Linked DNA regions of Drosophila melanogaster. The protein of the gene in region 4 interacts with the protein of the main gene of each other region in a pairwise test. Each region holds a gene or a part of one and is shown on either strand. Other genes may lie near its edges. The genes, in order: pira, CG44005, cpo and CG33695.

Evidence for each region.
Region 1: the proteins of CG33695 (region 4) and pira interact in a two-hybrid assay, tested with the Drosophila melanogaster proteins (one large-scale study listed by BioGRID).
Region 2: the proteins of CG33695 (region 4) and CG44005 interact in a two-hybrid assay, tested with the Drosophila melanogaster proteins (one large-scale study listed by BioGRID).
Region 3: the proteins of CG33695 (region 4) and cpo interact in a two-hybrid assay, tested with the Drosophila melanogaster proteins (one large-scale study listed by BioGRID).

Annotation. Positions count from the first base shown.
Region 1 is NC_004354.4:12,758,124-12,767,014, reverse strand, and holds pira (pirate), read left to right. Parts: upstream 1-3,403; 5' UTR 3,404-3,671; coding exon 3,672-5,717; 3' UTR 5,718-6,373; downstream 6,374-8,891. Other genes in the region: PAICS bifunctional enzyme, read left to right, coding at 6,642-6,666, 7,100-7,303, 7,408-7,552, 7,980-8,092, 8,161-8,891.
Region 2 is NT_037436.4:18,067,855-18,075,816, forward strand, and holds CG44005 (uncharacterized protein), read right to left. Parts: upstream 4,270-7,962; 5' UTR 4,216-4,269; coding exon 3,723-4,215; intron 3,369-3,722; coding exon 2,806-3,368; intron 2,742-2,805; coding exon 2,685-2,741; 3' UTR 2,446-2,684; downstream 1-2,445. Other genes in the region: CG44006 (uncharacterized protein), read right to left, coding at 954-1,016, 1,070-1,632, 1,763-2,261; CG44004 (uncharacterized protein), read right to left, coding at 4,669-4,722, 4,775-5,331, 5,480-5,975.
Region 3 is NT_033777.3:17,916,453-17,924,995, reverse strand, and holds the start of cpo (couch potato), read right to left. Parts: upstream 5,165-8,543; 5' UTR 3,527-5,164; intron 1-3,526. UniProt on the Drosophila melanogaster protein: May play a role in the development or function of the peripheral nervous system by regulating the processing of nervous system-specific transcripts.
Region 4 is NT_033779.5:11,274,082-11,282,017, reverse strand, and holds CG33695 (uncharacterized protein), read right to left. Parts: upstream 3,998-7,936; 5' UTR 3,906-3,997; coding exon 3,888-3,905; intron 3,868-3,887; exon of another isoform or gene 3,649-3,867; coding exon of another isoform or gene 3,625-3,648; coding exon 3,533-3,624; intron 3,444-3,532; coding exon 3,345-3,443; intron 3,264-3,344; coding exon 2,555-3,263; 3' UTR 2,171-2,554; downstream 1-2,170. Other genes in the region: Ppt2 (Palmitoyl-protein thioesterase 2), read right to left, coding at 348-546, 612-885, 1,090-1,197, 1,260-1,401, 1,503-1,646; cana (CENP-ana), read right to left, coding at 4,683-4,763, 4,822-5,097, 5,162-5,413, 5,470-5,619, 5,681-5,881, 5,943-7,936.

The DNA.
Region 1 (8,891 bases), on a different chromosome or scaffold from region 4:
GGTGTGTGGTTTGTGTGTGGATATCCTTGTTGTTCCGATCGATGCGCTGAAAAGAGCAAATTTGTTAATATTTATAAATAATGAGCAAATTTGTTAATATTTATAAATAATGTAGTAAAAGTTTGAAGACTATAAACCAAATTATTAGCAATCAGAACAAAGAACAATGGAACTGGCGTTAAAGGGCTAATTCTTACAGTTTTACAAGCACCGTCCTTTTGTTATGTTTTTGGGCTAGTGTGTTTTAAGTGCTGATAAAGCGGGAGAAAGGGGAAATGGGCAATTGCTGTGTTGCACGCCATTTCTCCTGTTCCTTCCACTACTTTTATTGCTCACTCTTTTATGCACGTATTAATATGACAATTATGCGAGTGCAACAAACCACAACGTCACAAGCGCACCAAGTGATGAATACTACAGTTCAGGGGGAAAAAAAAATTGCAAGCAGTTGAAGTTAAAAGCAAAACTTGCATAAAATACGATCCCTTTTTAAATGTCATACCCAAAATAAAAGTGAATAGGAAATATTTGCTAATATAAGGTTTTGTGAAAGAGTGCATATGGTATTGATAAAGAATTGAACTAATGCTAATATCTTGACCGCAGCTGTATGTGCAGCCGCCCAGAAGAAAGAGAAAAAATCAATTTAAATTTGCGCCCAGCGGCGAAAAACGGAACAAAACAAAACGGGGGAGAAACGAAGGAATGGGAATTTAGCATACCATATTGTGTTTTTCTACGGGTTTTAATAGATACTATCAATGAGATACTATCAATTGATATGCTATTGAATCCCGATTTGAATGCTGCATATAATCAGCTAAATAAATTGTCTATTTGTTTGCCATTTCCTTTATTCGGTTCGCTGCCCCTATTTCCATTTTCAGTCTTAACACTTGCGCGTTATGTTAGTTCGAGGACATCCATTGATATTAAAAAAAATTCTTCATTAAATTTAATTCAAATATTATATTAATAAATAAGAACACAAAATTAACTCCAAAATTAACTCCATTTGCATAAAAAGACAATTTTACAATATGAATTTGTTTTCTGTTCATTTGTATTTCAAGTGCATAGGAAGAACTATAGAGTTTTTCGTTGTGTCAAAAAATTTACTTATTATTTACTATTTTGCAAACTGGGTCCATCAAGGGTTAATATTGTTGTTCCCTTACGAACACATCTGGCACAAAACAAAATAAGCAAAAAACGGTAAAAGGGGGTTGCGCCAAGAGAGCGTTCAAAAAGAGAGGGTGGCAGAGAGAACTACAGACACGCCAAGGATAATAGCAAAAGAAATCAACTTAAAGACACACAAAAACACATAGCACACACACACACACAAAAACACTCGAATTAAACATAAATAAATGCAATTTTCGCCAGCTCCGTTTTGTTGTGGACAAACCTTTACAATTAAATTAAACAATTCGAATTTAATACAATTGGCGGCTGCGTGTGGAATTCGCTTGACACACCAACAACAAATGAATGCTCACTTTCTTCGTTTCGGCTTTTGTTTGTTGTGGATTTTAATAAAAGCGACTACTTTTTATTTCGATCTATTTCGTATGCAGTTATTTCGATTCTTTTTCTTCTCTTTTATTTTTATTTTCTGCTGCTGCGGCGACGACACAACGCCGACGTCGACGGCGACGCGAAAACGACGTTGCGCTGCGTTTGCTGAGAATTTCCGTTACCGGCGTTCGAGCGACTTTCGTGGCAACTAGCGGTACCGAAATATCGAAGCTAACATCGATGCATCGATGTTTTTATCGATTTTCCGAAACATCGATGTCTATTTTTTTTTTTCATCGCTATTCGAAGACTCAGAAAACGAATTTCTTCAAATTTAAATTTATTCAATTTCAGTTATTAGCATGCAATCTTAAAATTGTATATGCATTTTCAATTTGTAGTGGAGGCCAAAAAATTTCCGATCAATTGATTTCCGACAAACTTATGTTTATCAATACCAGTTTAAGATTATGCATCTGAAAATATATCTTATTTTTTTTAATTTTATTATATTAATATTTGTTTTATATTAAATTACAAAAAAATTAAATTTAATAATAAATAAATGTTCTTTCTTTTTCAACAAGTGTAAATAAAAATATTATAGTCTGCAAATATCGATAGACGGCTAATTGTTGGGTATCGATAGCGAGCGGTGTGTGCGTCCGCGCTGCATGGAGCTGGCATTGGGTTTGAGTCTCAGCTTTGGAACTAAAAAGCATGAACTAAAAACATCGTTTCGAGAATTAATTGAGAATTAAATATTAAAGTCCCGCGTATTTAAAAAAAAAATAAAGCTGTTAGTTAAATATGACATCTTCTCTGCGAACGGTTTGGTTAGAGCAAACAAAAAAGTTTATATGACTACAACGAAAAATTCAATTTAATAAAGAACTAACGGAAAACATAGCATAAGTTTTTCCCGAAAAATATGATGTACTCAGCTGGATATTTAAAAATAGAGCAGGCTTGTTGTATTATTTACATATGCATTTTCCACGTGCTTAAATGTTAAATATATTTTAAATAATATATATAATTAATATATGCATAAGAAAAAACAATTCGAATAAAAATATATTTTGCAAAATATATTACTGCAGCCAGCACAGATATGACACTATTTAGTAAAGTATATACAGTAGTAGTAATAGTAAATTTGTAAATGTAAAACAAAAGCCAGTTTCCAGTTGCTTCACATTTAAGGAATTCGACTTGGCAAACTTTCTGACAGCTAACAACGTTGTGATTTAGATGCGTTTTTCCGCACTTGGCAACCGATGCAAATTGCGAAATGGAGCCCTTTGGCCCGCGGAAAGGAAAACGTGTGTGTGTCTGTCAGTTGTTTTTTTTTTTTTTTTATAAATACGCTCTTGGCAAAAAACAAAAAAACAATAATATTTTTGTTTACATTTGATTTTCTTATCGCCGCCAAGCGATCCATGTGGTGAGAGGAGCTCAATGCTGACGACTAAAAATCGGACAGGTGGACCCGATGACGGACGCACAACTATAATTTGATTAATGTCTGTACTTGTATTTGCAAAATGTTGAAATTAAAACGAGAATAAATTTTTGGTTTTTAAAAATTCCCATACAAAGAACTTGCAACAAACGGCTGAACTTATAACTTTGTAAATACCACATGTAAGAATACTAATACTTGTAAATGAAAAGCAAAGAACTTAGCTTAGCTAAGATTCGCTTAAATGCCTATATTTCGTCAGTTCAAATATTATTTAATTTCAATATTCGCAACATTCAAATTTCAAAGCGGACTATCGATACATATTTTTAAAAACACCCCACAAAATCCATACCAATTGGAAACATATACATATGTATCGATATGAGCAGCAAAACTCCGATGGCGATAGCAACTCGCACAGATGATTTTTGGATACAGCACTTGGGACGCCGTTTACCCCAACAATAAAAATAGACAGATATCAAATATCGCATAAAACACACAGATTGGAAAATGAAAGGAATATAGTGATCAAAGTCACCGTGTTAGGTGACTCTTCAACCATCCAGTTAACTTTGCACATCAAGCAGCCCGAGAATTTGCAATCGAAACGAGAAACTTCAGTTCAGTCAGATCAGCCCATATAACGTACATATGTTATACTATTGAATCCGGCTCCAAAATGGATCGCAAAGAAACTGTTTCGAAGGACCAAGCGGTACGTCGAATTGCCCATAATGACTTTATATTAGTCTCACGTCAATTGCTGATCAATCGAGCCGACACGGATCCGGACAAAGGAAGTGCCAGGATGTTGATTATCTACAGCAGTGGAAAGCAGCACATCGTCACCTTCAAGCTGCCGAATCTTGCGTGTAGGGTGCAGGATCTGTTTTTCCAAATGGACCTTCAGATCGATGAGAGCACCACGATTGATTGCATTGAGAATGCCGGCGGTATTATCCATTTGGTTGTCTCTGTGGGCTTCCCCATCAGTGATAACATTGCCGAGACGGTTGCCCATGCGGAGGAGTTCTATAGGAAGGTGCATCAGTCAAAGGCATCATCGGCTGATGCCGCTCCACCCAATGCGATGGCCGGTGAAGAGCACTCCCCTGCGGTTGTCAAACCATCAGAGACTGCGGTGGCCAACAATGGTTGCCAGCCAGCTGCAAGTGCAACCAAAGGCAAGAAGCACAAGAAAAGTCCTTGCGGGAGTCCGGGAGAAAACAATGATGGCCAAGTGATATTGTCGGCGGATCAAGACGCCAATACTAATACCAAGGCCAAGAAACAGAAGAAGTGCCATATTGCAAAGGATAACAATGGAATTCAAGCTGCTAGTTCTCATGACAACCCTAGTTCATCTGGCAATAAACAGGGAAGTCACAACTCCACGGCTATAACCTCCAATTCTACAATGACGAGTAATGGTCTTCGGGGCGTGCAACCAGCTGAAGATGCTCCCGCAATCTCCCAGTGGATCCAGTCGAGGAACAATGCCGCTGTTAGCAAGAAATCGGAAGAGACAGCTGGTGGATCTCAATCGCGGGTGCAATCGAATGTTGCATCCATATCCTCGCCAGCGGTGAAAGCAACTAGCGACGCTGCTATACCCACACCAGCAGAACGCGCAGAGCGTAGTCGCCTGCGCCGAAATCGCAATTGGATACTAAGCAGGGACGTTGATGAAGATGCCGTGGTGCTGGTGAGCAGCGGTGATGAGGAGACCACCGCCGCCGATGATGGCCAAACCGAGAGAAGACTTTCACCCGATGAGAATCAAACCCTTTTCACATATCCGCCAACTGGTACCGGTGGCCTGAGCATCACCATCAAGGACTTTATGTGTCTCAGTAAAGGATCGTATCTGAACGATATAATCATTGATTTTTATCTGCGCTGGCTAAAGAATAACATCATACCAGAGGAACAGCGCGATAGGACGCATATCTTTAGCACGTTTTTCCACAAAAGATTGACCACACGAACGAATCCCAGAAATACGAAGCAGACGGCGGCCCAGAAGCGTCACGAAAGGGTTGAGAAGTGGACACGAAACGTCAATATATTCGACAAGGACTTCATTATAATACCATTCAATGAGCAGTCCCATTGGATACTGGCCATTATATGTTATCCAAACCTTAGAAGCCCGGTGGTAAACAATAATAATGTGCAGACGACACTCAGTGATGATATTCCCATCAAACAGCCGTTGATACTTATTTTCGATTCGTTGGCAGTCACCTCAAGACATCGAGCGATTGCCATATTGCGGGATTATCTCACCTGTGAGCACAAGGCCAAGTATCCGAATGCGCTGGCGCATGTCTTTAACAAGGATAATATGCCCGGTCATAGTGTGGAGGTGCCGCAACAGCAGAATCTTACAGATTGCGGCCTCTATCTGCTGCAATATGTGGAGCAATTCTTCACAAAACCCATCAACGACTATACACTGCCCATTAAGGAGCTGAGCAATTGGTTTGACCTGCTCACAGTAACCAAGAAGCGTGAGGATATCGCTAATCTCATCAAGAAGCTTATGAATGAAAGCAATCAGCAGCGCAAAATTTTGCCGGTCATTAAGTTTCCGACATTAAATGGCCAACTGGTGATGGATGAGGAGGATAGCGAGGAGGAGAATTCTAAAGAGGAGCATAAAACTACGTTGGTTTGTTCAAAAGACAGAAAACCGCCGAGGAGAAGGAATACACTCAAATAAACCACTTGTGAGAGAAGTGAAAATACATATATTTTCTACAAAACAACTGAACTGAAGACGATCGCAACGCAATGCTTTGGAACACTAGGAGGAGCAAATTGACACGGCGGAGATGGGTTCACCAGAAATATACGTTTTTTCCCTCAAGGAAAAGTTTCATACACACATACAATCACCAAAAAGAGCAGTTCAGCCAACAAGACGATAAAGAGGCTACCTACTGGAGAGATAGAGACAGAGACAAAGACAGAGATCAGGATCACAGGATGAGCATGTTAGGCAGGACGAGGTGGATGTCAGGAGTTGGAGAATGGACAAAAATCAAGAAAAATTCAAAATTCAGAAAGTCACCAAATGAATAGAAAATATTTTAGAAACAAAATTTGTAAATAAAATGCGACAATAAAATTTGTCACGCATAAGCAAAGCTTTATAGATTGCCAAAAAATGTACATATGTATGTATGTACATAAGTACATAAGTTGCCCCGCGCGGTGTTCATCGGCCATTTGGGAAACTGCAGGGTATTACCAATCAGCATTATACTCGACTCTAAGCCCACACACACACCCACACGCAAGCACACACACGCGAGCGCAAACACATGGATCTCTTTGCATTGGTGTTGGGGTTCGGCGATAAGAAAATCGAGCCATAAAGTCGCGCCGGCGATTCTATAGACGCTCAGTTGCTTTGGAGCGATTCTTTGATGCAGACGAACATCGGAGTTTGCGGATTGTAATAATAGAGCCAAGCGGAGAGAGCGAAAAAGACAGAGAGAGAGATAGAGAGCGAGAGCGAGAGGGAAGGCACCAGCGAATATCGAGCATAAAGCAAAGCCCGCAACACGTGAAACAGCCAGCAGCCAATTGATTTCAATTTCGATTCTTAAAGTGAAGTGACCAACAACGTGCGATTAACGAGATGTCCACCACCACAACAGCATCCAGTAAGTTTATCCATCGCCAAGGTTTCCAAATAAACAATTGTTGTGCCTAGAACGTAAATAGTACCAAAGCTACCATCTTTTATTCGATCTTTCATCAATAAAAGACAAGCTTAATGTGATGGAAAGCAAGACAGTTGTTTATGTTTTCCCGCCAGCCTTGGATTTATTTAAACAGTTATTCGGGTTACTCAAAAAAATAAAACAACGGAATATTTTCCTGGTTCTGATAATATTTTAATGCTGTTTATTGAGCTGTCTGCTGTAAACAAGAAGGCTGGCTTTCCATTGTTTAAATCAAGATAATTGTGGATTTCGTAAACAAGTTGTCTTTCCATTCCTTAAATCAGTATCATCATATATCATATAGCATCGATTCTAAATACTAACTAAACACCGAACGTAACGAATGCAACTGCAACTTGAATTTCCACAGTAGAGGGCTATAAGCTCGGCAAGGTCATCATCGAGGGCAAAACCAAACAGGTGTACGATCTGCCAGAGCAGCCAGGACTTTGCCTGCTCCTCAGCAAGGATCGCATCACCGCCGGCGATGGTGTCAAAGCACATGATCTGGCCGGCAAGGCGGAGATCTCCAATACCACCAACGGTCAGGTCTTCCGGCTGCTCAACGAGGCAGGTGAGTTGCTAAACCATATAAGTCAAATCAACTATAATGCATTTTAGTCAATTTCTAACCAAATTGATCAATTAATTAATTAATTAATGCTTCTTATTCGACAGGCATTCGCACCGCCTATGTGAAGCAGTGCGGCGCCAAGGCCTTCATCGCCCGCAAGTGCCAGATGATACCCATTGAGTGGGTGACCCGTCGCCTGGCCACCGGTTCGTTCCTCAAGCGCAATGTCGGCGTGCCCGAGGGCTACAGGTTGGTAAACAGCCAATGGCTGGCTGTGGGTTATCACCCCATTCGATTTGTTGCGATCTGTGTGTTATCTGTGTCCGCTTGCGGTAAACAAATTCAAATGCAATCGATGCACTGCAGCAGGGTCAACAATCGCTGATAAGATTGATCGTTTGTGAACTCAAAGCCCACGAAATCTGTAATTCAAGTCAAGATTTTCGCCAGGGCAATGCTGCTGAGATGCTATGTGTAAATTCGTTTCATTTGATGTCGTCATACCAAGGCAATAGCTCTTTTTTATGGCTTTGATTGCCAACAAGTTCGCCTCTTTGAGTTACTGTAGAATATATATTATACTAGAAGTAATACAAATGTCACTTGATATTTAATTTATTCATCTATTTGCCTCAATTTGCTGCCTTATTACTACAATTACATTTGCATTGCGCAGGTTCTCGCCGCCCAAACAGGAGACGTTCTTCAAGGATGATGCCAACCACGATCCCCAGTGGAGCGAGGAGCAAATTGTCTCCGCCAAGTTCGAGCTAAATGGCCTGGTGATCGGTGGGTACTTGCGGCATAAAGCACTTTTACATATACAAATCTAAAACTGGCAACATGTTTTTCTTTAGGCCAAGATGAGGTGGACATTATGCGTAGAACCACACTGCTGGTCTTCGAGATTCTCGAGAGGGCATGGCAGACCAAGAATTGCGCCCTGATCGACATGAAAGTGGAGTTCGGTATCTGCGACGATGGCAACATAGTTCTGGCCGATATCATTGATTCCGATTCGTGGCGCTTGTGGCCAGCGGGTGACAAGCGTTTGATGGTCGACAAGCAGGTGTATCGCAATCTGGCATCGGTGACGGCCAGCGATTTGGATACCGTAAAGAGGAACTTCATTTGGGTGGCCGAACAACTGGCTGATATTGTGCCCAAGAAGGATCACCTGGTTGTCATTCTGATGGGCAGTGCTTCCGATATATCGCACAGCGAGAAGATAGCCACCAGCTGTCGATCCCTCGGCCTTAATGTGGAACTTCGCGTGAGTTCGGCCCACAAGGGACCGGAGGAAACGTTGCGCATTGTCCGCGAATATGAATCGGTGATGAGCAACTTGATCTTTGTGGCCGTCGCCGGGCGATCCAATGGACTGGGTCCAGTCGTTTCCGGCAGCACCAACTATCCGGTAATCAATTGTCCGCCCGTCAAATCGGACAACATGCAGGTGGACGTGTGGTCCAGCTTGAATCTGCCATCGGGGCTGGGCTGTGCCACAGTTCTCTATCCAGAGGCAGCTGCTCTGCATGCGGCCACCATTCTGGGGCTGGGCAACTTCATGGTCTGGTCGAAATTGCGT
Region 2 (7,962 bases), on a different chromosome or scaffold from region 4:
TCGCCTCCAGAGGGTTCATTGAGACTAATTTTCATGGGGACCCGCAGAGCAGGAGACAAGGAGCTCCGGAGGGAGTATTTCTCCTTATTTATGGCAGAGGAGCAGGCGTCGGGTCGGTGACTCAGTGGCAATATTTGGGTTTAGCAAGAGTTTATCCCCTTGTCACCCTTAGAGCTTCTCCTCTCGTTGAAAATATGGGAATTTTCGACATTGCAGCCACACAAAAATCCCTACAACGTTGCTAATCGATAATCTGAGAATTTTTGTTTATTTTTTTTTCTCTTTGTAACATAAAATCAGGACAAATATAAATTAATTTATTAATATATACACAATCTTCCACTTTTTGGAAGTATATTTAAATAAAGGATGTCATGCTTGAGGTGAACAAGTTTAGATTATTCACCTCTATTGTATTATTCCAACCTGAACCCAACCTGAAGTTGAATCATTGTTCCAAAAACTCCCACTTTAGGCTACCAGCGCCCAACTACCTGATGAGTAAGCCACGGAATTTGCGGCCAATGTTGTTGAACCTGCGCGGGACTCGTGTCCATTGCACCTGACACGCACTCCTGGATGGAAAGGACAAGATTGAAATGGATGGGTATGGCGCTCAAGTTCAGGCGCAAGTTCAAAGTTCGTGTGGGGCTTGGATTTGCTCGAGTATTAGTCATATTGTTTAAATTGTTCCATGTGCATGGCTTTGCTTTAAATATTTGGTGATATCTCTTTTGCTTAATAGTATATATTAATTAATATATATTTTAAACGACGAATATATACTCACATTTATATACTTCTCCAAAATGATAAAAAACAACATCAATATAGAATTTTTTGAAACATACATATATATTTTGGTATTATCCTAACATTATTTTCATGATAATCTTGATAATTTTGGGCCAATCTATAAATAACATATGGCATATGGGAGCCCAAATTTATATTTAAAACGCAAAATCATACAAATAATTTAAATCTATTAACTCGGGATTTGAGGTCCTTGGAATCTTAAAAAAAAAAAAAATAAATAATGCTTCCCACTATTTGTTATTTATTTTACCAATCGACGAATCCATTTTGACTTTGCACGAGCGTAAATAATTAGTTTAAAAGGTTCCTCCTTCTTGACGCCGTTATCCTTGAGAACTTCAACAATGGCTGACACAAAAGCTTGGTAAATTTTAATAGCCTTCATTGGTGTATAGAATGCACGTAACTTTGGACATGATCGAAGAACTTGGAGAAAGTTATCTCCATCGAATGGAGGTGGATTGGAATTTTCATTCATCTTTTTAATATTCACTCCATTTTGCAGAATAAACCCAAACAGAAGGCCTTCAATGTAGCAGTTGGAGTTTATCATGTCTAAAGTTTTTAGCTTCGGACAATCGGGCAATTCCGTAATAATTTCGCAGTCGTTAATTTTGAGATCCTCCAGCTTTGGCCAAATCAAAGGATGCGGCTGTTCTGAGGGTATTATAGTTATGTTGCGTACTGTCAAGGAGCGAAGATTCGTAAGTGGTGTACAAATCTCGAGAAGATTTAAAGGTAAAAATGGATTGAAGCTTTTATTATAATCGATCACTAGTTCCTCCAGAGCAGTTAACTTCTGAATCTGGCAGACTAAATAAAAAGCGAGTGTATTGGTTATTCAACAATTTCTTAGGGTATAAATGTGTATATGGAAAAGTATTGAAAATATTGATAATATTTTTGTATTTAAATTGGGCTATCACTAACATACTTAACTTACCATCTTCGGTAATATTACCCCTCAATGCTAATTGTGTCACATTAGCCATTTCTGCGACCGAATCGAAAAGCTTTTTCGGATCTTTCGTGAATATAGTAAGTTCAGCTGATACCAATAATTTACTCATTTTCAACAAAAATGACCGCACGCCGTCACAATTGTTTTCGAACACATCAATTCTCACCGACTTCAAATTGGTACAATGCTGCTCAATCGACTCAACCAGTATATCACTCCATGGGGTGTTCCAAATTTGTCTGCTGGAAAATTCCTCAACAGTCGATCCACATAGGCTCACAATAACCAACCACAATTCTTGAGTTACTCCAAAGAAAGGGCTGAGCTTCTTAAAGGCACTTCGACTGTGGTACGCAAACGCTTTGCCCAGCTTTTCATGCACCTGTGCCAGTTGCACCTTATCCACAAGACTCTGTAGTTCCACGAATATGAGATCGAGGACTTCGATCGGCAAATCGTATATAGTCCGCTGGTTTTCCATCGCAAAGCTTTTAGCCCGAGAGCTAATTGCGAACTGAAAACTGCAGCAAGAGCATCGGCTAGCTAAAATCCAATTGAGAGGGGGAGAAAGAAAAGTTAAATAAGAGAAACCGAATCGTACGTATGAACATATTCCGACTCTCCAGCTCTCAGTTAAGTGACATCACATCGTAAGTTGTGAAATTATTTATAAATATTATAAGTTTAATGTAGTTTAAATAAATTTATAAATTTATATTAGTAACATTAGATAGATATATGCAATTATTGTTATTCAGTTCTAATTCAATACAATTTAAAAAATAAAAATCAAATATTTTCTAAGTTTTACAAATTGTACAATCGTTCTATACAGGTTAAATAAAAATTAAAATATATTTATAATTAATTGTTTTGTGTTTTCTGATATACAATTTGCCAGTCCTTAAAACTTGTACAGGTAAAGCGTATGAATCACTTCAGGATTAGAAGTCCGTTGTAACTGAAAGACGAAAATTAACAACGAAAAGTGTATGTAAAGTAAACATATTGTAGATTCCACTCACAAATCGTCGAAACCATCTAAGCTTGTCTCGGCAGTACAATATCAGCTCGAAGGGTTCTTTTCGCGTTGATGCAGTCTCCTTGAGAATATCCACTACGGATGTAACAAAAGCTTGGTAGATCTTGATACCCCCCATTTGAGTGGACAACACTTGCAATTTTGGACAGCTTCGAATGACTTGAAGGAAACTCTGGCCATCAAATGGTGCCGGTTCACAGCTTTCATCGATTTCCTCGATATTATTGCCGTTTTTCAAAATAAAACTGCATACATATCCTTTGATTCTACATTTGCAGAATTTGATATATAAGGTTTTCAGCTTGGGACAATCGGGCATCACTGTGGAGATTTCGCAATTTTGCATTTTCAAATCTTTTAAGTTTGGCCATATCATGGGATGGAAGCTTTCTGGTTGAGATATCGATATATTGCTCACAGTCAAACGCCGAAGATTTGTCATATTTCCGCAAATTTGAAGAAGATTAACTGCTCTGCATCTATATCCTCTACCTTGATAGATGAGTTGCAGCTCCTCCAGATCAACCAGTTTGCACAGCTGATTAACTGAAAAATGTGGACAACAATGTAACAAGTTTACTATTTTATAATCGCTACAACAGCGGTAAATATATGCAAGTAAGTATGTAAATAAGTTTAAAAACGAAAGAAAACATTATAATTTACAATGTTAAATTAGCCGAACGGGAGTCAAAACAAAAGAAAACAAAGACGGACAGAAATCTGATAATCGTCAAGCGGAAAAAGAAATTTACCGTTTGATATCGGCCGAGCCTGAATATAAACAGCAGCTTATCGTATTATATTTACTTCTATGTATACTCATTTAACCCATTAAGGCCGAGTGAAATGAGAATATAACACTATTGGGAATTCGATTTATTTTCCTAAATGACTTACCTCCCCGGTCAATGTATCCTTCATACAAGAATTTTTTCAAGTGTTTCAGCTCGGCGACGGCATTAAGTATCCTCGGCGATTGGCAACTATCGTTGAGCTTCAGTTCGACCGATATTAAAGAATTCGCCAAATTCAATAGAAAAAATTGAAGACTGTGACTATTTCTTAATGTAGCACTGATGTTCACCGACTCCAGGTTGGGACAGTACTTCGCAATCGATTTGGCCAACAGATCGCTCCAGGTGTCCGATCCACAGGTAAATTCCACAATGGAAGGGCCACAATTCGCCAGCAGAACTCGATAAAGTCGAACGGGAAAATGTATTTTTGGTGAGAACTTCTTGTAATCACTGCGGCTGTGGTACGAAAACGCTTTTCCCAGATAATCATCAACCTGCGCCAGTCGAAGTTTGTCCCTTAGATTTCGTAAGTTACTAAATATGATATCGAGCACTTCGAATGGCAAATCGGTTATAGTCCGTTGATTTCTCATTGCAGGTACCCCATACCCTCGAGAGCGAAGGCCAAACGCAAGACTGGTGCAAAACTGATGGGGATGGGAATTTTAGCGAATTCCAATTGAGAGAGAGAACCAAGTACTCCTCACTTGGAGAACTAACTGTAAATTCGCGCAAGCTGTCATCATTTGGAAGGTTGTACTTACTGACTATAAGCATGTTTTCCAATTTTTCACCAATTTTTTAAAAATTATAATTTCTGTAGAATTTACAAAAATGTGAATATACAAATATTAAGAAAACTAAATAATACATTTTTATTTATTTATTTTTTTAATTTTATTTCATCTTTTCTTAGCTAACATTTTTACATAATTTAGATTTGCTGTTTTCTACATATATATATCTTTATAAAATTATAAAATATTTTTTATATATATTTTAAAATCAATTTTGGATTTTATTATTATAGTAATATTATTTTTTCCTTATTCTTCAGCTAAGTAAAGGCTTATTAATTCAGCATTTGGTGTCCGACGGAGCTAAGGGTTAAAATAAGCCAAAATTTAAGACATCATAACCAATTCCACTTACCAATCTACGAAACCATTTCCACTTAATACGTCTACACACAACCAGTTCAAATGGGTTCTCCGGCGTCACTTTATTTTCCCTCAAAATTTCCACAATAGTAGACAGATAGGCCGCATAGAGTTTAATATATTCCAGAGGAGTGTAAAGATATCGTAAATTGGGGCACCCTCGAAGTAATTGAAGAAAACCGTTGGCATCGATCGGTGGATGGCATCTTTCATATAAGGTTTTTAAATTTCTCCCATTTTTAAGTATAAATTTTAAAATGTAGCCTTCGTTGGAGTTTCGGAGGTAATGAATATCCAAAACTTTTAGATTAGGACAGTCTGGTAACTCGGGAGTTAATGCGCATATAATGAGCTTTAAGGTTTCCAGATCGGCCCACATTTTTGAATGGGGCTCTTCACATGAGATTATATGAACATTATTTATAGTCAATTTTCGCAGGTTGCTTAGTGACGAACAGATTCTCAGTATGTTGACATCAGGCTTGTCTAGATAATAATGTTGTTCGATGTTCAGCTTCTCCAGGGCGACCAATTTCTGAATTTCGTTAACTGAATGAAACGCTGTTAGAAATCATTCACAAACTAAATTTCAAGAAATTTTTCAAAATTTTTTTTTAAATTTTTATCCGATGCGTTATATCCTTACAAACATAGCAGTAAGTTTAAAAACTATTATATTGTGCTATTAAAACCTTACCGTTCTCGTCAATGTATCCTTTTACTGAAAGTTCCTTTAACTGCGTCATTTCACCAACAACTTTCAATATTTCGAATGGAAATCGCGAACGTTGTTCCAATGAAAGGGATAATAATAATTTGTTTATTTTTCGCAAAAAGGAACATATTTGGTCACTGTCCGACCTATATAAAACTGCTGTAAACGATTTCAGATTGGTGCAGTATTTGGTAACCGCTTCGATTAGAATATCGTTCCAAAAGTCACAACTTCTATCGAAAACTAATTCCTCAGTTGTGTGGCCACATTCTTGTATTACCAACAAAAACGATTCATTTGATAACCACGGTGTTACTTTAAGCCTCCTAAACTCATTTTTGCTGTGATAGACAAAAGCTTTTGTGAGCTTTTCGTGAACCTTAGCCAGCTCCACTTTGTAATTCATATAAATAAGATGCGTAAATATCAGATCGAGGACTTCGACCGGCAAATCGATTATACTCCGCGGGTTATCCATCACAAGCTTTTTCGTCGAGAGCGAAATGCGAACTGAGGCATCTGGCAAACTGTATTTATTAAAGAGAGAGATGCATTCGCAAACGAAGAGAAACATAAGAAAAGCTTTTGTACTATCTGATTAGAGTTCACTGACATTACTATTACTGTATATATGTACATACGTACAAATTAGGTGATATCCACTTTGCATTTCTTCACACTAATTTCCTTTCTACAATACAATAAATGTATTAATTATTTCCTTGAACACAGTGTGATAAGTTTATTTTTTCACGAATAGTAAAAAACTGTCATGATGTATATTTATATATGTACATACTTATATGTCCTATGTCAGCATTGTAACGCACGTAAATTCCCAAAAGAAACTCCAGGGTTCTGCTGCGCTGATGTTCTACTAATGGTATCCTTAACCAGAGCCATTGCAATCTCTTCTGGCCAGTTTCCAAACATTTTTTAGCTAACATTCAGAAAGAAGAATCTTCACATTGAAGATAATTTCGGGAGAGCCTTCGTCCTCCGGGTCATCTAATCTATATAAAAACTATTCTGAGCAAGTGACATTTTACATTATTATGATCACAACCGCTACAAGGACTCTCCACGTCGAATCAACACCACGATTCAGCTGTTAATCTCAAACGTCAACCTCAGATACATATGTATGTATGTCTATCTAAATGGCGAACTGAGAACAAGGCCCCAGTCAAAGATAAACATTAATAAATTCACGAAGCTCACCATTTTCGTCCACGTATCCCCTGAAGAAAAAAATCCTTTAGTTGCGTTTTTTCACTCACCGCGATAACGATAGTAGCCGGAAAGTAATTTTGTTGGTTTATTTTTACCGATGTCAGAGAGCTTTTCATATTTTCTAAGAATGACGCCATGTTTTCCCGATCAGACAAATAGAACAGAACGAATACTGATTTCAAATTGGGACAATGTTTCTCAACCACATTTCTACCACATACACCGTATACAAATTCTTCAATCGTGGGCCCACATTCCCGAATAAGAAACTTCCAAGAATCAAGTGTTAGCCGTCCGTCGAGCGTAATTGTCCTGAATTTGTTGCGGCTGTGACAGGAGAAAGCTTTTGCAAGCTTTTCGTGCGCCAGAGGTAAGTTAACTTTATATTGTAAACTAACAAGTTTTTCAAATATCAGATCGAGGCTTTCGAATGGGGCACATCGTGTATTCTCCGTTGGATATCCATTACGAGCTTCTGCCTTCAGAGCGAAAAGCGAACTGAGAACTGTGTCACAGCTCACTGATAAAAGAGCAGAGTGAAACTGTAAAATCGAAGAGAGAAGAAGAGAGAAACTTTTGCAGTCTTTTCTTGTGCAATACAATAACCTGTCCTAAAAGGATTAATTATGATATTGATGTTGCACTTATCGTATCTTTTTTATTGTAAAAGCTAATGTTTGTATAAATATTACTAATTTATCCCGCTATTTTTTCATGCACTTTGACTCGGAGAGTGCAGTGGCAAGCTGATGCAAACAAAACTTTTTTCTTGAAAGACAACGCTTTTAAGTATGTGAGTAAATAAACAAGAAAATATACAACTGCACCATTATGGGCACCAATAGCAATATTGCCTCTAGAATACAGAAAGATCTATTGGGCATAAAATCTATAATAGATAAATAACTGAAGTAATTAATTTAATTCACAAATTATCATTAACTACGATTTATTGTGATTTAAGCTTATTACTTCTTAATTACTCAAAGTCGAAATTTTGATCTGATCACCGCCAATTCGTTATTACTAACAGCAGAGATGCAATACTAATAGGCATGCTTCCTTTAAGTTATGTAACTATAGTGGCATGTACATATGTATATGTACATATATCTATATCTACATGTTGAGGTCAGTTTAATATAGCAATTTAATGTCCCCACTTAAAGACTCATTTAAGGGCAATTCCCGCTGCGGTTACCACCTCACGAGCACTTACTTGGGCAAAACAT
Region 3 (8,543 bases), on a different chromosome or scaffold from region 4:
GGCTGGCTGGCTATCCTTTGAGTGTCCCCGACGCAGTTGAAATTTGAATTTCCCTTTGCGTGAAAATATGAGCAACTATTTGGGGGGACAGCGAGCTACTGAATGGGACGGAAAGTGGGCCACCATCATCATCATCATTATTTGCATGTCTGGAGAATTAGTCCAATTTAAAACTCCTTGCGGAAACGTGACAGCTGTCCATGTAATTACGACTGGTCATCGCTAAAGAGGTTTTCCCAACCCAAGTTGCCCCACCAAACATCTGTGCATATGTGATGTATTCTAAACTTTCACACTGACACATTAAAAATTAAGCCAAATGCGACAATTAAAAGGGAAAATTCACGTAAAGAGAGGTCCTGGGAAAGCCAGCAGAAGTTTGGGACCCGAAACGCCACGCCCTCCGGCCAGCAAACTGCCAATCAGCCGTCAAGCAGTCAGTCAGTCAATCAATTTTCCATGTATACTTAAACAAAGGTAGCTTTTTGTATATATGTATGTGTATACATATCCCGGGCTGTAATTTCATAAATATTTAATGCGTGCTCGGGCCCGTGGTAAAGTATATACGATATGATACAAATACATATAGACAGGAGCAGCCGTAAGTGACAATTATCCTTGTCTTTCAGCTCCCAACCCCTCGGTAGGTTTTTCTTCGCCTGCAGCGGCTTGGAAAATTTACTTGGACTTTTCCCCGGCCATCATCTTGGCCAGGTTAGCATTAAGTGTAATTTTTTGTTAGTGGCAAACATTTCATGAATTAACAATGAGAGCGCAGCTCGGAAAAAGGACCTGGAAAAATCTAAGCGACGGTGGGGGGGGGGTGGTTTATAATAGTAGGAAAAGTGCGTGGCGCCGTTGGCAGTTAGTCATCTGAAGTTTTCCTGCCGCCGAAAAAATGAAATGTTCTACTACGTCATTGTCACACGTCTACATAGGACTGAAGGACACAAAGGGCGGATGAAGGAGATGGTGGTGTCGGAGGGCTAAGGGCTGAGTCGATGGGGGCGTGTCATCTAATGTAATGAAGCATGAAAAATGGTGGGCGTTCGGTGGTTCAAAGGTCGCTCAGCTTTTTCGCTTATTACCAACAAAGCGGCAGGAAATTCTGTATGCCAGCCGAGTTCACTTTTTCCACTCGCATATGATATATTTGTGCGGTTGTCAGGCGGCGTTTGAGGTGGCTAAAACGTAAGCTATTTAAATGATTGCTCTGGGCCGCATACACACACTCGGTGGAATAGCTCAGCCTAATTGCGTTTGTTGTATTCAAGAGGGTATGCTACATGAATTTTGATTAATTCGGTGGAGCCAGCGATTAAGCTAGATTGTCCACCTGTAGGTAACGCACATTCACCTCCCAGTTTCCCAGTGTTCCAGTTTCCCAAACTCCCAAACTCCCAACCTCCCTCAACTGGCTTTTTGCAGCCCAGCTGATGACATCACCTGGCTGGCAATCGACCTGCGTGAGCGCCCAGAAATGCCATAAACCATGCACTCACTCAAGTTTTGAGCTTAGCAAAATGTTGAGGACTTCATGAATACCGCTTAAATGCCGCTCTATCCAGCACTCCATCCTGCGAAACTTTAAATAAGTGTAGCGCTGAAAACATCAAGAAAATAAGCTCACGCAACAGAACGAGAACAAGCCTGAGAATCTGCACAAAAAGAAAAAAAAAACAATTTGCATGAAATGTCGACACGACTACGTGGAAAATTACCTTCACCCACTTTGGTGGAAAGTTCCGTTGGCATTACGTTGGCTAAAAAAGCCCTGCCCTGGCTACTTTAAGTTGGCCAAAAGAAGGCGACGCATTTCGCAACGGAAGTAAAGTAACTTTAAACTGAGTATTTTCATTGGAATGAATCTACATAAAAAAGCTTGCATATTTGGGTCATTACATTTTCGTAGCTGCAGAGTTTTTAAGACGAAAGTTGAAGAACTTACATGTAAAATATGAAATGCTATTGAATCTCCAATATATTTTTATTTAATACATACGAATGTGAACTTTAAGCCAAATGAATTGCTGCACAAATGGCGAGCTTCTCCCTTTCATTAACACCTCCTTTCATAAAAAGCCACTTTAAAGGGCGTATTTATTACATAGTTGACTGAGGATGAGCTCAGTGTAATTATGATATCCAAGGCTACTGGGAGAGTGTCCTTTCATGTTCCCAGCGCCACTTTGTTGCTGCTGCCGTTCAGCATTTCCCGAAGCTCATTTTTGCACTCATTAGGTGCTGGCGCCCGAAAGTGTGCAGCGCAAGGGGGATTCGGCCAGAACTGGCCAGTGGAGATGGAAGGCCAGGCCAAGAAGAAAATGGCAAAAAGTGAGTGCGGGGAAAATGGGAAAGTGCGCGCGAAATGGCGAAAAGTCAGCAGATGCTACTGGCCGCTGGCTGATGGAGAGCTCTGGATGCCGGCAAGATGAATTTTTGATGCCCCAAAGTGAGCCAGCTGCAGCGAGAGCGGCCTTAAAGTGGCCACAGCTCTAATGGCCAAAAGGTGAGCCAACTGAAACTCCAGTTCTCGGCCAGTTGGAGCATTTTTTTTAATCGCTTCGTTATTCCGCCGTGGGGTGCAGTTGTTCCTGCAAGGCCAAAACCAAACCGTTGCCAGCCGCGATAATTGAAAATTAAATTTAATTTTATGCCCAAAGTTAAACATTTGCTCAGTCGCGGAGAAATAACACGCATACGCACTGTATTCCCTGGCTCGCGGCTTCATCATCGTAGGTGTCCTGCTGCCTGCCTGTGCGTCGTGTGCTTAGTCCCTTTTGCATCGTGTGAACCGGCACAATTGTTGCGGATTTTCACAAGCGATAATCATAAAAATGAAAATTTTAATAGCGCGCGTGGAGACGAAGGAGAAAATCCCCTCTCTCTCTCTCTCACTCCTTCCACACACACTCGCTTTTCCACCGCCTCTTGCGTGTGTGTCGGTTGATTTTTCTAGCTGTTTACCTACACACGCACACATGCACACACACACATGGCCGCCTATTGATTTTGTCCCGTATGTTGGTGCTTGCAGATGTTTGTGGCATGATCCTAGGCGCTGCAGCAACAAATTTCACTTCGACAGGCTCATTATGGTTTAGCGAAACACGAATACCCTCCAGACCCATTGGCGCATAAAATGTTGGGGTCCCGAACGGTTTTATTTTTGGGCTGTTTTGTGGATTACCTAAGCTCACACGCTTAGGGCTAAAAGTTTATGATTGCTTTCGGCGTATGGAAATACATCTGGTGGGGAGGCGGCTCGCCAAAACCACAAAAGCATTCTCGGATTTGATTTTCTAATTAAGAGCCCTTTGACGTAAAGAGAGAATGTCAATTAGTGTAGGCCAATTTTCACCACAACGTTACCGTTGACTAATGCACGGAAACATCATAGCAAAATGTTATATTCTGTTTCTAATTAATATTAATATATCGTTTCAGATGACACAATCCTTTACGTTTATTCCACAGAAGCCCACCATTTTCAGTTAATGGTTTCATTATTGTGAAAACTTACCTTTTAAGAACTTTAGTTATTTTTCAATCCGTCGTCTGGAATTCAATGAAGTCTTCTCGTCATTTGCAATTGGTCCGCTTGATAAAGTAATTAATATTTTCGCGTAGCATTCATAAACACGCAGTCTAATTTAATTGATATGTTTTCTAGTCGTTATAGTTTTAGACTTTTGCTGAGGCTTCCTCAATGATATGTGACAATATTGTTGTATGTATATATCTCTCTCTTGTTATATTCGAGACAACTAATGTAAAACTTCTAACAAAAATTACTGTTCTTTTGGATTTTCTAAGGTAACTAGATCTTAGATAATTGTAAATTTAATATTTATATTTGCTCTTTGCAAGAGCTTTGATATGTATGCGATAATTTGCACAACTCTCCTTAGGCTAGTTCATTTGTTTTGTTTTTTATTTTGTTGATAAGATAAAAAAGCTTGATTAGGGATTCAGCAAGCTTTTTAGGCGTTTTACATGATATGTTTACGTTTCCATTCGTAGATTTTTTTAATTTCTTGAATTACATTTCTTTTAAATGTGCTAATTTAATATACTTTTCATATTTCACCTTTTGGCATTAAACGATTTACATGATATGTATGGTTATCGCATTGGTTTCTATTCTTTTAAGACAATAAAATATCGTTTTGGTTTTTAGGTAATTGCTGGAATTATTTAGCTGCTTGTCTCAGCTTTTTTTGTTGTTGTATATTTAGTTATTTAATATTTTCTATAGACTATAGAATGATATGTGTTGATATGAGTCTTTTCTTTTAAGTTACATTTCTAAAATATATTTATCGTGCGTTTTTTTTTTATTTTGTCAGCATTCTCTTAAGGGCTTAACTTTTGTTTATAAATTTTCCATCCACTGTGAATGTCTTCCACAAAATTGCGATGTTGTCTCTTGGACTTTCTCTTCCGACTCTGGCTCTCTTTCGCAGTAATGGCTGCTTTCTCTTACTCCTCGAGCCCCCTTTCTCCAACTCCGCGACCTCCTCCGCGCTTTCTTCCTCTCGCTCTCTTTTTGCCCACGCTCCTTCTCCACCCCCTTCTCTTTGCTTTCACAGGCGGCAACGGCAGCGGCAGTTTCTCTATGTATTCGTTTTTTTTTCCTGCCGTTGTATTTCAGTAACTTTTTCCGATTCCGCTTTGGGCCCGCATTCGCTTTCACCGAAAAAAACCGTAGGCGAACAAACAACAACAACTCGGGTTGGAAATTATTTATTCAAGTCAATTAAGTTTTTATGCCCGGGAATTTGTCGATTTTCGGTAATTATCTCTGGCGCAGATTGGGTTAATCCGTATATCCTGGAAGATATATGTAGATAGATATATCCTCTTTGCCGCTGCCGTTGGACGGCCCACACCCGTAAAAATAGCAAAGCAATGGAAATTATACAATCACTGGCTGCGAATTCGAAACAATAAATTTTTGGTGGCACTCGCGTTTCGAAGAATTTCTCGATTTGGCTTCGGAATAAGTTGGCTGCGCCCTGCGGGGTATGCAGCGTTTTATTTATCGCACAATTTCAGATATTGGTCTCAATTTGGCTATATTTTTCGGGGTTTTCACTATATATATCGCTGGCCTCTGTGTTCGCTGCGTGTGACTGAGTCGGAGTGTTTTCGTTTACTCAGGAGCCAGCGCAGGATGCGTGCGATGCCAGGCCATGAATTTTTCATCATCGGGCATCCTTATTAGAGATTTTCGCCCCATCTCGTTGAGATTGCTGCGCGCAGATCCAAAAAGCATCCAAGAGAGCGTAGAAAAGAGCGAACGGAAGTCCTGCGAGAGCGCCCACACACACGCACACATTTGTTATTAAGTGCTTGTTGTGGGTGGTGCATCTCCTTAATATTAACCCCCCGCCTGAAATAAAATTCTCAATTTTCCCTGGCCCTTGCATTTCGTTCAAGGCCCATCATAATCTCATTCAGGTATTTTTCCTGAATTTTTTCCTTGCTTTTTCGGGGGTTGTTTGGCTGTCTTCCATTTGGTGGGGGTCCGTGTTTTACGGCAAGGGGCGGCTTTTTGGGGGTGGCTTTATCTTTATCTGTTTGTTTTTCGCTCTCTTGTCGCTTATATAGCTTTCACATTGTCTGCCTTAATGGTCTTGTCACTTTGACATATCCCGTAGAAGAGCGAAAGATAGAAAGCGTATTAATTCTGCGCAGGTTTTTAGAGAAGACGAAAGGCGTACTTTGGTACAATGGTAGCTGAATCGGCTAAATTTATGACTATTTCCGGTGGTTGCCTTGGCTAATACAGCGAAGTTTCTAATTCGCCGCACAATTGAATTGTAGTGGCGCGCCGGCAGGTGTCGCTTTAGTTGTAGATGTAGATTTTCAAAAATATGTATATTTTTCTATTAAAATAAATACGTATTAAAATCATTGTTGTAAAATAAATTTAAAGAATTTTTTTTTAATTTCAATTAAATCACATACTTTTTTTTAATTAAATTTATATGACAGAGGTAGAAGTTTTTTAAAAACACCCTTTCGAACAAATATGCATTTTGTTTGTGATGTAGCACAATATTTTGTTATGATAACCAATGCCTTAAGTAATTATAATTTTTTTTTAAAATATGTTATAATTCAACTTAAATTTAAATTTGTGCTCATCCAAAACCAGGCAGTCTTTAATTGCCTGTGCAAATAGACCTAATTTCCATAGCTTTCACCAGGCAACAAAAATAACAAAATCAGCCATAACGATTGTTTGACAAACAATAATAGAAAAATCAAAATACATCAGGTTTATATGTGTACACTTATATAAACAGCCTGATTACGCAGTTGAGCTTGCAAACAATAAATTAAATTACACCATAATACGTTTGTGGGCTTTCACTTGTATTTGAAGTGCTTTTATTCACGTGCAGCTTGAAATCAACTAAAGTTAACTCTTAGAAATTGTAAAGCATCTCTTCCTTGTAATTACCTTACAACACAGCATTCGCTGGCCCCAAGAAATTCTTGTCAAAAACTTCCTTCGAGAAAGCCCCCTTTGCAGTCTCTCTCTCTCTCTCTTTAATTGCGCATTTCGACTTTTCTTGGATGACATCTGTTGGCCTTCCTGCCCTGCGTCCTAGCCCAAGTATGTTTTCTTCTTGTTTTTTCTTTTTTTTTTTTGGTTAAAATGAAAATCAATAAAAAGCTCAATGACGTCAGCCGCCCAGACACACACACAAACGCACACACACGCACACTTACAAAGTAAGCGGCAACATCGGAAAATGCTGGCGGCCAAATACAGCTCCTGGCACTCCCAGACTCCACCTGCCACTCCCCCCGCCCACGTAGCTTGCTCTCATCTCCGCCGGAAATCCAATCGCTCCCCTTCGTGTGCCAGTGTGTGTGTGTGCCGGCGACTGTGCGAGTGTTGCGGGTGTGCGAGTGTTGCGAGCCGAAGACACTGCACGTGAGCAGGCTATCAGCAATGGAATAAGAGTTTCGACAGCCAGAAACGCGTTTATCTTTCTGTTTTCAGCTGTCATACGCTGAGAACAAATTTGTAGTTGAATTAAGACAAACTAAAGTAATATTCTATTAATTAAATGGTTTTTAGTATTATAATAAAAATATTTTTAATTTGTACCTAGATCAATTCCCAAACTAAAACTATTGTTATATGGGACTTTGATAGTTAAACTACAAATAAGATACTGCAGATATTTGTTCGATATATTTAATAACTATGCATTGATTCGTATGCATATTAGTAATATTACTTATTTATTTCTCTGTAACTCTGCCAAAGGCATCCAAAGTAAAGGAAATGCACTGGTGAAGGAAGGCTGGCCTGGAGTGGCTGTGACAATTTACGCCAAATCTCATGATGGCTGCGATAAGCTGACAGATAAAAGCGATAACAGCGACGACAACTCAAGCCAATTGAGAAATATGCAACAGAAGTGTACAAATTTTTGTGGGCTTTGAGTGTTGGATATTTTTGACAAGCACGTGATGTGTTAAGGTCAAAAGTTGGGCATCCAAAAATAGATTTGGCTCAAATGGATTTAAAGCAGATCTAAGCAAGCGAAATCATTTTAAAGGAAATTGCTAAAGTTTTAGAAGAAATAAATATAAATGAAATTACAACTAAGTATAAGTATATATAATGATTTCTAGCATAAAAACTATAATATATTTCTGTATTTCGCAGCTTGTTAACCTATTCAAGTTTATTGCAATTTTAAGCTCGATTGAGCTGCCAAATCTTTTCAATAATATTCGCTGAGAAGGGATCATTTCCCTGCCCCTCGAAGTATGCAATAAAGAGCGATTCGTTCCAAATTGGCGCTGCTGCTGCAAGAACATCCCCAAATGCAATGAAAAACTGTTTTTCTTTTCTTTTTTTTTTTGGCAACAGCAAGCAAGGGGAGGAAGTGAACAGTGAACATATTTCCATAAACACACACGCCCCCCATTGGATGAGGAGTTGAATTTTATGAATATGCAACACGATGTTGTTGCTTAATGTTTGCGCAAAACAACCATATGAGCATGTAATGCCCAAAGGGGGCGGGTATTTGGGGGTGTGTGGTGAAAGTTGGAGTCACACACTCGGCAGTTAGTTTGTAGTAGGTGTTAAAATTGCACATGAAATATGAAAAGCCACTCATAACACTGAGAGAAACATGTGCTCCCACTTGCCTGGTTAACAACTCCCTGGTCAATTCACCACGCGAACGACAGGCAGTGTGTGTGAGAGAGAGAGAGAGAGAGAGTCCCTTTTCATGAGAGAATCCGAGTGATACGGGGATAGCGAGAGAGAAATTCCTGAACTGCTGACGACAATCGAAGCGAATTCCTGATGTAGGTGGGCCATATCGTGGGCTCTATAGCTTTTCCAGCTCCAGCTGCGGGTCCAGTTTTCAGTCGTTGTCGTGCCGTCGTGATGTCGTTGCCGTCGTCGCATCCGTCGTCGTTGTCGTTGTTGTTGTCGCCGCACTCCATCTAGTTGTTGTTGGTGCAGCAGGCAGTACAGCAACAGCAACAAAATCACA
Region 4 (7,936 bases):
TAAGTATTTAAATTCAACAAACAAATTTGACGACATGAAATATAAACTTTAACGATTCATTTTAATATCCAAATATATATCATTGAAATTGCAATTTAAAAATTTCTAGTTTCACTTTATTTGGCTATTTATAAGTAGTTTATGAGTTTTTGTAAAAATCTCTGCTGCAATACGCAGGCTGTTTTAAAAATATATAGCTTAGTTACCAATAAAAGATCATGTTTGTAGCCTAATTACCCAGGCAGCAACTTCACATTAATGCTTATTGATGAGAGTGAGCCTTTGTCCGCCTTTCCGATCACAGCCGTTTGATCGCTCAGTATAGTTCAGTAGTTTTGGTTTCTTATTCAGTCCAGATATGGAAATATCACTTCGTGGATGACATCCCTTCGCGTGTGCCAGGCAAGATGATGAACATGGGGTTTGACCACAATGATAAGCTTGCCGGCCTCCTGAAGCGTCCTGATGCCAATGGAGTCGCTGGTGAAAATCGGTCGCCTAATAAATGGAATCACATCCATATTCTCGTCAAAGTAACCAAAGTGGCTGAGGAAATATATACGATTTGTGGTTATTTCACCTTTGATAATATCCGACTAAGTAAACCATACCTCGATTGCCACGGAGTAATCACATCGTCGTTGGGTCCGCCGATCATTACCAACTTATTTAGACGCACCATTCCCATCTTAAAAGATGTGGAGTTGGAGGTCTTCTTCTCATTATTGATCAGTGGCAGGAATTCGCTGTACTTCAGGTAGAGATCCTGCCTCTGCGGATCGTTCCAGTAGCCACCAACCGAGGTGTGCTGTCCCACGCGCGAGTAGAACAATTCGAAGGCTGTCTTGGCCGCCAAGTCGGGAAAGATTAGATGCAAGAAGCTAGCTGAAAATATTACCAAAAAATAAAAACTTGAACCATTGTGATCCCCCTTTGTTTTATAACCCAACTGCGTAATTTTTGAACACAGTTACATAATATATTTGTTTCTTGTAAGCTTTAAAAGAGTTTAGCCCGGAAAAATGTGACGCAGTTATGCATCTATATAAATAGAATTTACTCATTGGTTTAAACTTTGATCTCACTTACTGCCGTATTGCCCCGCCTGTGGCGAGGATAGAGATATAAAGGTCTTCACATTGTGCTCGGGCAGACTTTGGATGGCCGCCCGGGCCAAAAGGCCTCCTTGTGAGTATCCTGAAAAAGGCATAGTATTGGTAACTAAAAGAAAATACTCTAATGAAAATCGGCTGCCTTACCCAGCACAATGATGCCCTCTGGATGCAGTTTGCCCACCTCGTTGAGATAATCCCTAACCTGATCGACCTGTCGCCAGGCGTTCTCCAAGCTGTACCATCCATTGAACTTGTCGCAGTTGTAGACGATAGTGCCAGGATGAAACTACAAACGGACGAAATGAGTTTATCAGTGCTACTGCGTTGTTTGCGTCAAATTCGACCTTGCCACTGTAAACAATAACAAAGGGGAATCGAAAAACAAACCTCTTCGATTTCCCGGACCAGAGAGGCCATCGATTCGGCTCCTGATAGAATTCCATGGAGTATGACCACCGGTTTGTAGGCCAGTGAGACGGAAATGGACGAGCAGGTTAACAGGGCCACCAGGACTTGCAAACGAAGTCTCATTTTGTGGGGAACAATGGATTTCCGACTGTTGTTGTTGATGTATCCGTATCTTTATTAGCCGCTCTTCTTCTTGCTACCCGCTTTGGAAATTCTGAAAGTGCGGATTTGAAATCCGACATGCGAATGGCAATGTATGGGTTGCGAGCGCAATTATGAGCAGAACGAAATTTGAAAATGCATTCGAAATTTCTCGAGACTTCATTGTACAATAATTGGATGAATTTAAAATACGTGGTGTGCATTTAAAAGGAAAGGTTTATAAAATAGGTCCCATAAATTGGATGGGTACATTCAAATAAAGATAAAATGCAATATAATTTAGCGGACCATTAGAAACACAATTGAGTTTGCATTGGGTGCTTTAAAAATATAATTATATATATGCTTTTATAATACAGTCTGATCAAAATAAAAGTATGAAGTACAAATTACAGCAATGAGATTGTAGAAGCCATTGCAAATAACTAAATTTCTACGCTCCTTGGGCTTTCCTAACTCCAATAAAATCCCAGAGATCGCCGAATCTTAAAATAATGCTCGTTTATTCACTCTCAACTTACACGATCGTCGTTATGTACTTTGCACTATTGTGTCTTGCGTAAATTTAAGTCTAGGCGGCGCATATACGCTCCGCAATTAATATCTACGCTCTGTGGCTGGCGATCCACAGACTCGTCCTCCACATCGCACAATTCATTTGTCATCCGGGGCCCGGAACAAGGTGATTTCAGGGTATATCAAATATGACAACACTTAACAGTTTAGACTTAGGGCTAGGGCGGCATCTCAACCTTTTTGCTTAAGAGTTCTCGATCTGGATTTGTAGCGGTTCTGTTCCAAGTTACGTGATTCGTTCTGCGGCCGGAGATCTAGTAGAAGAAGTCCAGCCCGTTCCGAGGGCTCGAACCTCACCCGGCCACCTCCTCGCTGACAAAATCCAGCTTGACCACCTCTGCGGGCAGGCACTCCTCCACGTCCACCTCGTTCTCCTGGACATTGATGCGATTGAGGGTCATGGACACGTCTGGTCCGCACTTTAAGCCTGCTGGCGCCCCTGCTGGCGATCCTACTGTCGCCGCTGCCGCTGGAGGATTGGAGGTGCTAACCACATCGTCGGCAATCACCACCGTGGGCGAGAGTACTGTTGGAACAGTGGACACTGCCGACACAACGGGCACCACGATCTGCGTCGACGAGCAGGTGGACACCATATGTGGCTGCTGCACCACTGTCGCCGTAGTCGAAGTGGGCTGCTGGATAATGATGTTCTCCGTGATGGTGGGCGTGTTGTTGGCCGTCGAGGCTGCAGCCTGGGCTGCCGCTAATGCCGCAGCCTTCTGCATCTGCTGGTACTGCTTAACAGTCACCGTCGTGCCCGTCGTAGTTGTATTAGACTGTGGATGCAGGATGATCTGCTTTGGCTGCGCCACCAGCTGTACGTGCTGCACGATTGGCTGTGACTTGAATACTTGAGGAGGTGGCTGCTGAAGGGGCTGCTGCGGCTGCTGTTGTGGCAGCGTCTGGAGAACGTGTTGCACCTGCTGGACGGGCACTTGCTTGGCGGGAATGCCGGCGTCCTCGAAGGCCTTCTTCTTCAGCGCCTGGCGGATCTGAGAACTGCAATGGGGAAGGTCAATTAAAACTAGCACGTACACACTGGGCAGCCGGTTCCCTCGCCAGGAGCACAGGATCACTTACACGGTGCGGTTCTTGATGCTTAGGCTGATCTTGGTCAGGTCGTCGGAGAAGCGCATTATGGACGAGTGCAGCATGTCGATCTCCTCGTCCGTCCACTTCCTGCAGCCGTGGCGAGGGAACAAGGCACACAGAAACACTCCGATTAGTGTCCACAAAACTCGCGACTCCACCGCATAGAATCAACTTACCCCGATGGCGACTCCGCATTGGGATGCAGCTGCATGGTTAGATCGCCCAGTCTGCTGAACGCCTGTCCGGCGGCCGTGAATATCTCCCCCACCTGCAAGTGCATGCGGATTTGCATCCGGAGTCAGTTTGTTGTTACCGCGTGCAAATTCAAAACAAACGCACCGCCCCTGCCCACCGCCCGCCGGCCCACTCACGGTGGAACAACAAATTTCCCACTCGCAGGAGTGAGACAAACGAATGACTCTCGACTCTCTCCCGCGCCGCCTTTTTCTCGCTTGCAACGCGCGGAGGCGCTGGCGACGGGATCAACGCGGTCGGAGCTGCCGGCGGATGTGGTGGAGCGGCTGAACCTACCTTGATTGCCGAGTTCATGGCCTTTTTTCGCGGGGCGCTGTTTTTTTGTCGTAATTTTACGTAGTTTTGCGTCCGCAGCTATTCAACACTGACGCCGTACACAACACTCAAGCGGCCGTCAATTTTCCAATGCACAACACTAGAATATGTATTTGCGCTACTATCGACTTATCGATTGGTGCAATCGGGAATTCAAACAAGAAGCGTTATGCTTATTTAGATTTACATTTAAGTAATTTATGTCTTTTATTATTAGAACCAGCAACTTATGCGAATCTGATTTTAACATTAAGAAAATGTAAATAGTTTATTCAATGCTATACATATGAACCAAATATTATTACACATGATGAAGGAAACATTTCTTAATTAACAATATTTAACTATTTATCGAATTTAACTATTAAACAAAAACCAGCATAATACAGATTTAAATTTAAATACTACGATCACGATTGTTTTTGTAATTTTTGTATTGATAGTATTTGACAAATACTTAGGGCGTAAATATAAATAGAAAACTTTATGATGTGGAATTCCACCGTTTGCAAGATAACACCTAACAAAAGAAATCCCTAATACTTGGATAACATTAATCATCTTTTTTATCATCGTTGAACTCAACGTTTTGCCTCCAGTCCGAACTCAGTCTTTGTTTGCAGCTCCGCTGCTCGCAGTGGCAATTGCCACCTGCAATATTAGTTAAAACCACATAAAGTTTAGACGATTTCGCGGCCAAGCAAACCTTAACTTACCTAAAGGAACGGTCGTAGTTCCGCCGTCACGTAAGTCGTTTCAGCAAAACTGCTTACGGTTCTCATCGTAGGCCGTCATCCGTCGATTCTTCCGCTCCGCAGTCTCTAGGCTGCTGGATTTCTTTACGAGAGAAATAAAAAAAATATTACATGCTTGAAATTTAGAAGATCATACGTACCTTTGGCACACATTCAGCGGAATTGCAGTCCAGGGGCTTCTTTGTTGCTGGAACAGCTGCAGGAGTCGGCGATCCATTCGAGGAATTCAACTCAATGGACACATCGCCTCCGTTCACTTTTTGCGTGTGTAAAGCCGGCAGTTCGCGCTTTAGCTTAGCCAGGAGCTCGGTGACTGTGCACAACTTCTCCTCAAGATTACGCTTGTCTTCTAACAGGCTAGAGATGGTGCCGTCCATGCGTTCCTTCTCCGATCGAAAGTTGATTTCCCTGGTTTTCTAGGCGATTTAAAGAGAAAACATTAAGCTATTTTATAAGAGCCTTTGATTGCAATTATTCTACCAGAGTTGATCGTAGTTCTTCGTACTCCCTCGTACGTTTATCAACCTTCTGTTCCATCTCGAGGCTTCTTTTATTGGCCGCTTCTATGGCTAAACTTTGCTTAATCCATGCCTTTCGCAGTGATGTAAAGGCGGTTTCATTGGATTTCAACTGGGCGTCAAGTAGTGCGTTTTTCCCATTCTTCTCATTAATAACAGTCAGCCTTTCCTCTAACTCTTGTTTATTCTGTTGCAGTATAAGTTCCTTTGATTCCTAAATAAATATTTCATTAGCGACCGAATAACCTACAAAGACAAGTCTAATATTACCAATGTTGAACGGAGCTTTTCGCAATCCTCTTTGAGCGCCTTGTTACCCGAACTCAACTTTTCCTCCATCTTGCGGTTTTCCTCCTTTAGATTAGAAATTGTTTCATCCAACAGTTGCTTTTGCGTTTGGAAATATTCTTCTTTGGATTGCTGAAAAATTTTAATTACCTATATTGTAATCAACCAGATAGATTACCAGATTAATTATTACCAGATCGGAACGTAAGCTCTTGCACTCTTTTGTGAGATCGTGAAGATTCTTCTTCATTTCGAGATTTAAATTATTTGCTGCTGTTATGTCTGATAGATAATTTTTCGAGGTTTCTAGCAATTGCTCATTATGCAACCGAAGATCGGATATAGTCAAGTTCAAAGTTTCCCTTTCTTTTAGGAAATCATTAGTTTGAGCTTCCTGGTATAGAATAAAATATAATAGAATACAAAAGTGAAGGCGTTAAATAAATAAAACTTACCAGATCGGATCGTATATTTTCGCAATCCTTGGTCACTTCGCCAAGCTCCTTGGATCGGCGATCGATTTCTACTTTCTTGGCTCGAAGCTGCTCTTCGAGATCGAGTTTGGTTTGTTCCAGTTTGTCAAAATCTTCTCGTAGAGAGGAATTGAGCTTTCGCTCCTTATCCACCATGTTCTGTAGTTCCTGAGCATCTTTTAGCTTTCTTTTAAGCTCTTCATTTCTAGACTCTAGATGGTCTCTTACTTCTTGCAGAGATTTTAGTTTAATCTGAAGCTCGTCTACTGAACCCTTAATATCAGCAATCTTTTGTTTAAACTGACCTTCCTGGGCAGACATATTTTCCTGTACTGCTTTAAGACTATTTTCCAGGCCTACTTTTGCTTCTCTCACTGTTTTATTTTCATCAATGGCGTCCTTGAGCTCAGAGCGAAGCTGTTTAATCTCTGAATCTCGGCCGGAAATTCCTTCTTGTAAAGCAAGCTGTTCAGCATGCAAACGCTCCACTTTCTTCTGCAGATTTTCCGACAACTTATTTGAATCCGAAAGACAGCCTTTTAGCCGCTCGTACTCGCACACCAGCTTATCGTAGGCATGAAGCCTGAGCTGGGCACAGTGCAGAGCTTCTTTGATATCTGCCTCCTTGGACTTGAAAGTCTCCAGCTTTTCTGCAATTTCACACCTCTCCAACTCCTTTTGAGTGGTTAGTGTAATCATTTCCGCTTCGATTTCCTCAAGTTTTTTTATGGTATTCGAGTGCTGTCCGTTGATTTTCTGGATCTCCGATAGCAGTTCTGCTTTCTCGCCCCTCAACAGCTCCAAATCCTGAACATATTGATCGCACTTCTTTTGCAGGTCATCGATGTTCTCGTTCGACGAGCCTGGCAGCAAATCCGAACTTTTCTGGTCGGCAGTGCATTGCAGTTGTTCTAGCTCCAACATGCTTTTGTCGTACAGCTTCTTAAGTTGGCATTTTTCCATTTTCACTCCCTCGAGTTCCACTTCCCGATCAGAATTCGTTTTATGCAGCTCTGCTATTGTGTTTCGCATCACCTCAAGCCTAGAAATTTCCTTATCGCGCTCCTCCTCCGCTTGCCTTAGTTTCTCCTTGTAAGAAGATTCCTTCTCCTTCAGCGTTTCCCTGATTTTTTCAAGCTCTGCCTTGTGTCGGACAGCCAATTCGTTTCTTTCCTTCTCGGCCTGAGTAATCTTTTCTTGAAGAGATCTTTTAATGACATCCAAATGCACCTGACACTGAGTCGTAACACTGGCGAGCTTTTCATTGGTCTGCTGTAGCTGCTCTTCGTAGCGTTTCTGGGTTTCCTTTAAATCCAGGCAGTATGCACGGAATTTGGAGCGGTTTTCATTCTCGCTCGTCTCAATTTTCGCCATGTACTCAAGCTGAAGGCTTTTGTTCTCATCTGTCTTTCGCTTCTCCAGAATACTTAATTCCTCTTGTGCCCTTTGTAATGATTCTTCAAGTTGCTCGATTCGGCGTTCATATTCGGTGGTAAGAGTTCGTTCAGTTTGTTCCTGGATAGGCTTCTCAACATTTAGAGATTCTTCAGCTGTGGTACTATGGTGCTGCAGTTCGACACCGCTTTCTTGAAGCTGATCTAGAGGGCGCAACTCCTCCGCCTGCCAATTTACAATGTCTGCTAGCTTCAGTTCCATGGATAAGCAACACTCGCTTATTTCTCCAATATCCGACTGCAGTTCGGATATTTTTTCGTCCTCTGACTGCTTTTCAAGTTTTTTCTGCAGTTCACACACCTTGGACTTCAGATGTGCAAGGGATGTCTTGAGAGTAAGGACTTCCTGAGATTCCTGCTTGTTAGCGGTCTGTACGGTATCTTTAGTCTGCAACTCCTCGCACAATATTTTTGTCTTGGCATTTTGATTTTTTATAGTTTCGATTTGATTCAGGCTGGTAATTTGTGCACGCAAATTGTTAATAACTTCTTTCTCTTCCTCAATTAGATTCTTTTTCCCGT